2 linked regions of the Canis lupus familiaris genome follow. The protein of the gene in region 2 interacts with the protein of the main gene of each other region in a pairwise test. Links are inferred from orthologs where the notes say so. Each region holds a gene or a part of one and is shown on either strand. Other genes may lie near its edges. The genes, in order: MACROH2A1 and ERICH2.

Region 1 (4,230 bases), on a different chromosome or scaffold from region 2:
CTGATTCTCAGGAATTATTTATTGAATGACTAGAAGACACCAATCTGGCAGGCTTGATCCAAGCAAACAAGCTATACAATTCTTTGGGACCCACTTGGGCTCACTCAAAAGAGCTGGGATGGCCCCCAATGTACTTCTAAAACTGTAGAATGTGGGGAGGACCTACCTACAGGGCAGGTGTGGGGTCCCCCTTGCCCCTGCTCCTTCCCAGCCTATATGCCAAGAATGGGGCTCTGAAAAACCTAACACAAATCCAAAGGCATAATCCAACAAAAAGTAGAAGCTGCTGTAATTCTGATCAACAGCACATATAATAGGTTCTTACTGTGGTTTTGCTAGCTTGGGGTTTGCACTTTTATTTAAATAAATCACCCTTAGATGACTGGGGGCAGCATTAGCTCTGAAGGTATTAGAGGCAGGTCCCAGAATACACGTATTCCAAGACTTTCTATTGGAAAAAGGAAAAGGGCTGTTGGAGTTCTGCTGTCGCAGAACTAGAAGAACTAGAAAAAATGGCAGAATGAGATGGACACTTCCTGTGCCTGGCCCCTTTGGTACAGACCACACCAGTGACTTAGGGCTGTGTGTTATAGTCTTACAAGTGATGTCCCAGACCACTCCTCATTCTAAAGGCCCTACCTCAAATAATTTTCACTTAAATTCTTCCGTCCTTCCTAATGCCTTTATCTAGTGATCAAGCATTAACAACGGTGACAGGTTAAAACAAAATTACAGAATGAAGAGATTTCCCACTCTCCTAAAACTAGAACAGCGGAAGAATTTTTAAGATTGAGGGTTTTTGGTTAGGGTGTTTTTTTTCTTTCTTAGGAAAAAAAAAATAAGGTTTGAAAACGTATTTATCCCCACTGGAGAGGCTCTTGTGCAAGACTGGAATGACACTGCCCAACTTTGTTCAGTTGTGTGTGTACAAGAGGTATAAATTCCAGCTGCAAGCGTGAGGTGGCCATTTCAGAGCCAGTAACTCCTCTGAAGGCAGAATGATACACTAAAGGTGGCCCGCAGTAGGTAGAGTCCACCTGACTTACAACTAGAGTCTCCCATTCAAACCTAAACCTGCCTGAAATTCCCCCAGTCCAACGAGAAGGGAGCCTGGGACAAAGTACTTCTGCCCTTCTTTAAGGCAAAACCTCAAACCGCAAAGGTGGAAGAAAAGGAGAAGTTAGCAGGAATGCCCCTCTAATTGTCTACTTTTATATGCTGTTTATTGGATCATTAAAACCTCACAAGGATTTCACGGCGATTGCAGTTGTTGGATTCAAAGTTTGTCTCAGCTGTTTGTACAGACGTTTCTCGCTTTCGAACTCAAACAATACTCCGCCTAACCTCTCGTCTGAAACAACCTTCCGATCAACTGACCGGATCCTGGAGGGATCCGCGGTTCCCGCAGGAGCGGAGGCGGGGCGCGCCACCCCACACACCTGTTGTCAGGTGACACCGCCGGCAGCATCCAGCGCGCTCACCTCCCCGCTCCGCTCCACCCCACCCCCCGCGAGGCCCTTCTCTGCAGGCCTTCTCCACCCAGGGCGCCTACAGCCTTCCCGAGTTACCTTAAAAAAAAAAAAAAAAAAAAAAAAACTCCCAGCCACAAAGCAAACAAAAGGCCGAGCAGAAGATGAACGAGGGCAACGGGGGTTCCCGCGTGCCCCCTCCCGGGCCCGCCGGGCTCCAAGCCCACGAGTGCCCCCAGCCGCCGACCCTCCCCTCTCCGCGGAGCCAGACGCCGCCGCCGCCGCCGCCGCCGCCACCTGGCTCTCGGGCCGACTCATTGTGCGGGGGCCTCACCAGCCGCCACACGGCGCGCCCCGCGGCCCCGGGCCTGCCCGGGGGGCCTCCGGCTCGGCCCGCGCCCCGGGAAGGCCGCCTTCCCACAAAAGCGCCCAGGCGCCGGCCGGAGGACGCGGTTTGGAGAGAAGTTGGCTTCCGGGTTTGCTGTTTGAACAAAACCAGAGAGAATCCCGCGCGGCCGGCCCGGGGCCTGGGAGGGCGCCGAGCGCGCGCGGGAGGCCCCGCGTGGGCCACACGCCGAGCGCGGCCCCCCCGAGCCCCGCCGAGCGCCGCCCGCGCGCGCCAGGCCCCGGCCGCCCCCGGGGAGCCCCGCGGCCGGAAGAGCGCGGCCCCCGGACCCGGACGGCGGGGACCCGGCGCGCCGCGAGGGCGCCCGCGCGGCACTTACGGGGCGGCTCGGCGGCTCGGCGGCGGCGGCAGCAGCTAGGTGTCCGGCCCGGGTGCCCTCTCGGCCGCTCGCGCCTTTTCTCTCCGCGCTCGTCGCTGGCCCGCCCGCCCGCCTCCTCGCTTCCCGCCCGCGCGCCGCGCGCCTGCCCCCTCCGCCCGGCTCCGCCGCCGAGTGAACTGGAACCAGTCGCCGCGGCCCCGGGATTCCCACAATGCACAGCGCGCCGCTCGTCACATCCCATGCCGGCCCCGCGCGTCCGGCCGCCCCCGCCCCGCCCCCGCCGCCCCCCCGCGCCGCCCCCCCGCGCCGCCCGGGCGCCCCGGCCTTGACCCCAGCCGCGCGGCTGCGCGCGCCCCTCCGCGCCCGGCCCTGCCCTGCCCTGCCCTGCCCGCGGGCACCCCCGCCTCCCGGCTGGACGCCGCACGCGCGCCGTCGGGCCCGAGCCCCCCGCCCCCCCCCCCCCCCCCCCCCCGCCCCGGCGCTCCGGGGGGCTCAGGTCCCGGGGCCGCGGCTCTGCTCGCGCGCCTCCCCGCCTGCGTCCCCGGCGACCCTTCGTGAGCGCCTGCGGGGTGCCTGGCACGGAGCGCGGGGCTGCAGAGCCGGACGCCGCCCTCGAGGCGAGAGCCCCGAGCGCCCCTACCTCCGAGCAGAGCGCGCCCAGCTGCGCGTCGCCTTTCTCAGACACCCGGGCCGCCCCGGCCGCCCCGCTCCTGCTCCCTGACCCCCCCCCCCCCGCTCCCTTAGTGGCCCGCGTACGCCCGGACCTGCTTTGTCCGTGGAAGCCGTCACCTACTTTGACTTCGCCAACGTTCACGGTTGGACCCAAGTTGCGATTTGCGAACATCAAAAGTGATTATCACACACAGTTTTTTTCTTTCTTTTTGTTTTGTTTTTAAACCGCAGACAAGCAGAAAGAGAAGGAGCCACTACAAAGCCCGTCTCTATATTCCTAAATTGATCTTTTTGCCCCAAAGCGTTAGTGCCCCATCCAGGGTACCTAGATAGGGGCCTTCTCTCAACGGCCTTCCCTTTCCTGGCCAAATTGCCAACAGGGAGGCTATCTCAGCACCCAGGTGTGGACCAGATTTAAATAAAGATACACGCCCCCCACCCCCCACCCCCCACCCACCCCGGAAGAATTGTGAAGCTTCCTGTGCCTTGCTGGAGGCGGTGCGGCGAGATTATGGAAGTAATCAAACCCGCTCCCAGCTCTCAGGCTGCCCCTCAGCAGCGGGGGTAGGTAACCTCCTCCCCTCCCCACGCTACTTTAACACTTCAAAAGTTTGCAAAGCAGGGATCCCTGGGCAGCTAAGTCAATGAAGCCTCCAACTCCTGATTTGGGCTCAGGTCATAATTTCAGGATGGTGAGATCCAGCGGGGCTTCCTGGTCTCTGCGCTGGGCATGGAGCCTGTTTAGGAGTCTCTCCCTCTACCTCTGCCACCCACTCCGGCTCTTGCACTCAGACTCTCTCTCTTTATCTTAAAACAAAAATTGAGATATAAACTGACATATAACAATGGGTAAATTTAAGGAATGGGTTGACTTTTAAGATTTTACTTACTTATTCATGAGAGACACAGAGAAAGAGGCAGAGACATGGGCAGAGGGAGAAGCAGGCTCCCTTTGGAGCCAGATGGAGGACTAGATCCTAAGACCCCAGGATCACGCCCTGAGCCCGAGGCAGACCCTCAACCGCTGAGCCACCCAGGTGTCCCTAATTACTTCTTTTTGTAGTAAGAACACTTTGACTATTCCTTGACCACCTCAGAGACACTTCTGTCTAAGGGACTTTGCATTTGCTGTTCCTCATCTTGGAACACTCCCCTCCTCCCCCCTGGCCTCATCCACATGACTTGCTCCTTCAATTCCTTCATGTCTTTATTTAAATCTCACCTTCTCAGGGAGGCCTTCTCTAAAATTTGAAACCTCACCCCGTCTTACACTGTCCCCCTCCCCTGCCTTATTCTTCTCCACAGTATTATACTTCTATACGTCAGATAAGACGTGTCAACTCTTAGGCTCTTTATTTCTCTAC
Region 2 (4,597 bases):
CTCTGTCCTTATCAAACTGGGTATTTGTCAATAACTCATTGAGTTCTTTAAAAAAAACTTCCATTCTGGCTTTTTTTTTTTTTTCTTTTTTGCCTCCTTCCCTCCATCCAGGAATCCAAGGAGATTGAGTGAACATGGACAGATGATTAAGATAAATATAACTGAATCTCTATGTACCCTTGGTTCCTGAAATGGTCCTAGTGGTTCTATTTTGATGAGGATGATAAAAATCTACCATTTCTGAAGCACTTTTTAAAAATTTTTTTCAAAGATTATATTTATTTATTCATGAGAGACACAGAGAGAAAGAGGGAGGCAGAGACACAGGCAGAGGGAGAAACAGGCTCCACACAGGGAGCCCGACGTGGGGCTCAATCCTCGGTCTCCAAGGTCACGCCCTGGGCTGAAGGCGGCGCTAACCGCTGGGCCACCCGGGCTGCCCTGAAACATCTTTTAAACGCCAGATGTTTTGTTTTATATGTTGTTGTTTGAAGCAATCATCTACCAAAGTACATATTCCCAAGAAGGTACCTAACCCCAGAGGTTATACAGCGATTATACCTCATATCATGTGGCTACTTAGTGAAATTCGATTCCAGATTGGATTCCCACAAACAGGCATCCTTCAGGACCTGTTGCCTAGCAACAAGCCCATCGGACACTTCCTGATCCCAAGCGGAGAAAAGCAACAAATTCCTTCCTGGAAGCCAAGCTTGCGGTACAATTAGAATTTTCTAAGAGAAGCGTTCCCTCACCCCCTTTTGTGACCAAAACCTCCCACTGGCCGAGGTCCGTTTCATATCCCAGGACTTGGGATATTAAACTCGATTTCTGGGGAAATCGTGATTTTCTCGGGGCGACCTCAAGTTGGGGATCAAGTGCCGCAGGCGACGTTTGTTTATCCGCATCCAGAGATAAGCTTCTGTCTCCCAACTCGAGACTCCTTTCACTCCACAAGCTTAAAACAGGAGCGAGGCCACCCCGCCCTGTCCCCGGTGCCCCCCAGAGCAGGATCCGGAACGGACGACGGCGTCCCGGGCGCCCTCCTGCCTTCCCTTCGCCGAGGAACGCGCGCGCGCGCCCCCGACGTGCGGCGCCGCGGAACTGCCGGCGCCCCCGAGCCCCGGCCTCTCGCCCCGCCCCCCTCCAGGGCTCGCCGGGCCTGCCACGCCCCCGCCACGCCCACCACCCCCGCCCCTGCCGTGGCTCCCCGGGCCTGCTCCGCCCCCGCCCCGCCCCCTCCGGGCTCCCCAGGCCTGCTCCGCCCCCGGCCCCGCCCCCGGCCCCGCCCCCTCCGCCGGGCCCGGAACTTGCCCCGCCTCCTCAGGCTTTCCTCACCGCCCACGGGAGGCTCCGCGCGGCCGCTTCCCCGCGCCCGGCGCCCGCCCCCGCTGCCCCGGCGCGTCCCGCCTCCTCCCCGCCCCTCAGCGGCTCTCGCAGCTCGCCCCGCCTCCGCCCTCCGCGCTCCGCCTCGGCCCCCCGCTGCTGCCCCGGCTCCCGCCGCCCGCCGCCCGCCGGCCCGTCTCCGTGGCGACGCTGCGTCCAGGGCGCCCCTCCCGGAACCCCGCGCGAGTGTGCGCCCTGCGGCCCAGCGGTCTGAGAGGCCCCGCGGCGGCTGCGGGTCGCCTCTCCCCACCCTCGCGTGCAGACCCGGCCCCGCGCCGTGAACTCGCACACCTGTCCGCGCCCTCCAGGTGCGGGCCCCGGAGCTCCGCGGCTGCCCGAGCGGCGCGCGGAAAGGTAGGACCCGCGCGGCGGGGGTGCGCCTCCAGCGTGGCTGCCTCCTCTGGCTGTGGGCGGGCCCTCGGGAGGGGATATAGCGTCTGTGTCTACGCGGGGGTGTGGTAACTGAGCAGTTCTGGGGTGGCTTTGTTTTCTTTTCTTTTTTTTTTTTTTAAGATTTTATTTATTCTTGAGAGACCCAGGCTGAGGGAGAAGCAGGCTCCCTGCGGGGAGCCCGATGCGGGACTCGATCCCGTGACCCCGGGATCACGACCTGAGCGGAAGGCAGACGCTCAGCCACTGAGCCGCCCGGGCGCCCCGGCTGGGCAGTTGACAGCCGGTCTACACCACATTCTCTGGCTTGCCCTTTCGCCTGCGCCAAGTGCCTCACGCTCCCCCCCCAAAACAGTGAAATTAGCTTTGTTGCATCTCAGAGCTTCCAGCTACTTCTCTCCATCCTTGCCTCCTACACCTACCTCCTTTAACACACACACACACACACACGCAAACTTTTTTTTCTTTTATCTGTTTTTTTCTTCTTTTTTGGGAAACAGCTTAATGACCAGTAGGAGCCAGCGTTCACTGACTGTACTTAATATTGTCATTACTTGCTAGACATAACTTGACCATAAAGAATTCTTGTGGAATTGGGACAAATCATTGAGCCTCCCCTGGCCTCCTTTTCATCTTATGTAAAACCAGGGGCCAACAGTGGATCACTTCTAAGGTCCAGTCTTCAGCCTTGTGTGAGGTGACAAAATTGACTTGAGATTTCCAAAATCAAGATATATGGCCTTTGATTACTCAAACTATTCTGCACTGCGCAGCTGTGGCACTTAACACAGGGCATGATTATAAATTTATCATTTGATTTTCCAGAGGGCATTAGGTGAATTGGACCGATATGTGCTTACCCCCAAGAGACCCCCTGGGTGTGGCTTTTTTTTTTTTTTAAGATTTTATTTATTTATTCATGAGAGACACAGAGACAGAGAGAGGAGGAGGAAGAAGCAGGCTCCATGCAGGGAGCCCAGTGTGGGATTCAGTCCCGGGACTCTGGGATCACACCCCAGGCAGAAGGCAGGCGCTAAACCACTGAGCCACCCAGGGATCCGCTGGATGTGGCTTTTTAAAAATAAATCTGAAAAAGACATTGAAAATGTCTTTTGTTTCATTCTCCTAAAAACCAAATGCAGTGATCCCCAAATCCACCTAATTTATTTTTAATCTCAGGAAAACAAAGTTAAGATTTTTTCCAGAGGTGAATTCCAACACCTTTAGGGATCCCATTGCACTACTCCAGAATTCTAGAGCTTCCTGTGACCACCTCTCACCACCACCATTTGAGCTAAATGTTCAGTGTGTCCCCCGCCCCAGCTCCATCCAATCTCAGGTGAGCTAAATGTTCAGTGTCCCCCACCCCCCCTTCATGGCTCCATTCAATCTCAGGTGTGCACTCAGAACTGGCTTTTCTTAGAGTTCACCTTCAGCAGTGTTCTTGCTTGGTGGTAGGTAATAGGAGGAGGAGGAGTTGTAGCAATTATAATTGTAGTAGGAGATAGGTGCTATTATTTATTATTGGCTATTTATATTAATCTTCACAATAACTCTATGAGGTAGGTCGTATTTTTGTCCTCATTTTATAGTTGAAGAAATTGAATCAGAGGTTAAGGTACCTGGCTTGAATTCACTAACAATTTGCTGAGATTTGAACATAGACAATCTGATTCAGCAGTCCGGGCTCCTAGCTCGACATTATGCTGTAAGGAAATATATAAAATTTGTATGTAGTCACTTTTTTTAAAAGATATTTTATTCATGAGAGAGAGAGAAAGAGAGAGAGAGAGAGAGACAGCAAGCACAGGCAGGGGGAGAGGCAGAGGGAGCAGCAGACTCCCCCGCTGAGCTGGGAGCCCAGCACAGGGCTCTATCCCAGGACTTGGAGATCACCACCTGAGCTGAAGGCAGTCACCTAACCATCTGAGCCACCCAGGCACCCCTATATGTGGTCTTTTTAAAATATGAATGTAAATGATAGATGATCATTGAAACCATTTTTATACACATTTGAGACTATGCAATGAAGATTGCCCCCAAATCCTCTTGTGCCCACACCAGGCTCCCCTGGGATGGAGGATGGTGCTTAATTAGCTCTGTCTTCTCGTCACTGTTGCAGGGCTTGAGCATGTAACTAATTCATTCTTTGCCTATTAAAATACTAGGTGGCTTATAAAGACAGCCCGAAAGGATAAAATAATTGCACAGATGGGGTGGTAGAAAATGTATACATCTTCCAATATTACAAGAGAAACCCAAAATGAGAATTTTGTGAAATCTGAATTTTGAATGCTGGTAACTCATTTTATGGAAGGTTTTTTAAGACCTATAGAATCCAAATAAAAACTATCTGGCCCTATTGGCTGGTTAGTGAATATTTACCTAGAAGAATAAGGGAATGGATGTTTTATGTTCTTTTTTTAGTACTAAGTCATTATAATCTGGTGTGCATGTCTTAAATGGAACCAGTCACATTTCAGGTGTTCAACAGCTACATGTGTCTAGTGGCTACCATATTGGATAGCAAAGATCTAGTTTAATACTTTCTTTTGGGGCAGCCGGGGTGACTTAGCGGTTTAGTGCCACCTTCAGCCCAGGGCCTGATCCTGGAGACCCGGGATCGAGTCCCACGTCGGGCTCCCTTGCATAGAGCCTGCTTCTCCCTCTGCCTGTGTCTCTGCCTCTCTCTCTTTCTCTCTCTCTGTCTCTCTCATGAATAAATAAATAAAAATCTTAAAATATTAAAAAATTTCTTTTTTTTAAGATTTTATTTATTCATGAGAGACACACACACAAAGAGGCAGAACATTATCTTAGA

What was found.
Region 1: the proteins of ERICH2 (region 2) and MACROH2A1 interact in binary tests that used the Homo sapiens proteins (3 or more experiments, as listed by UniProt). The two-hybrid records come from large-scale screens. The link is inferred for Canis lupus familiaris from reciprocal best matches to the Homo sapiens genes ERICH2 and MACROH2A1.

Annotation. Positions count from the first base shown.
Region 1 is NC_049232.1:23,466,031-23,470,260, forward strand, and holds the start of MACROH2A1 (core histone macro-H2A.1), read right to left. Parts: upstream 3,005-4,230; 5' UTR 2,988-3,004; intron 2,977-2,987; exon of another isoform or gene 2,959-2,976; intron 2,924-2,958; exon of another isoform or gene 2,835-2,923; intron 2,396-2,834; exon of another isoform or gene 2,195-2,395; intron 1-2,194. UniProt on the Homo sapiens protein: Variant histone H2A which replaces conventional H2A in a subset of nucleosomes where it represses transcription. Nucleosomes wrap and compact DNA into chromatin, limiting DNA accessibility to the cellular machineries which require DNA as a template.
Region 2 is NC_049257.1:15,608,414-15,613,010, forward strand, and holds the start of ERICH2 (glutamate-rich protein 2), read left to right. Parts: upstream 1-1,600; 5' UTR 1,601-1,740; intron 1,741-4,597.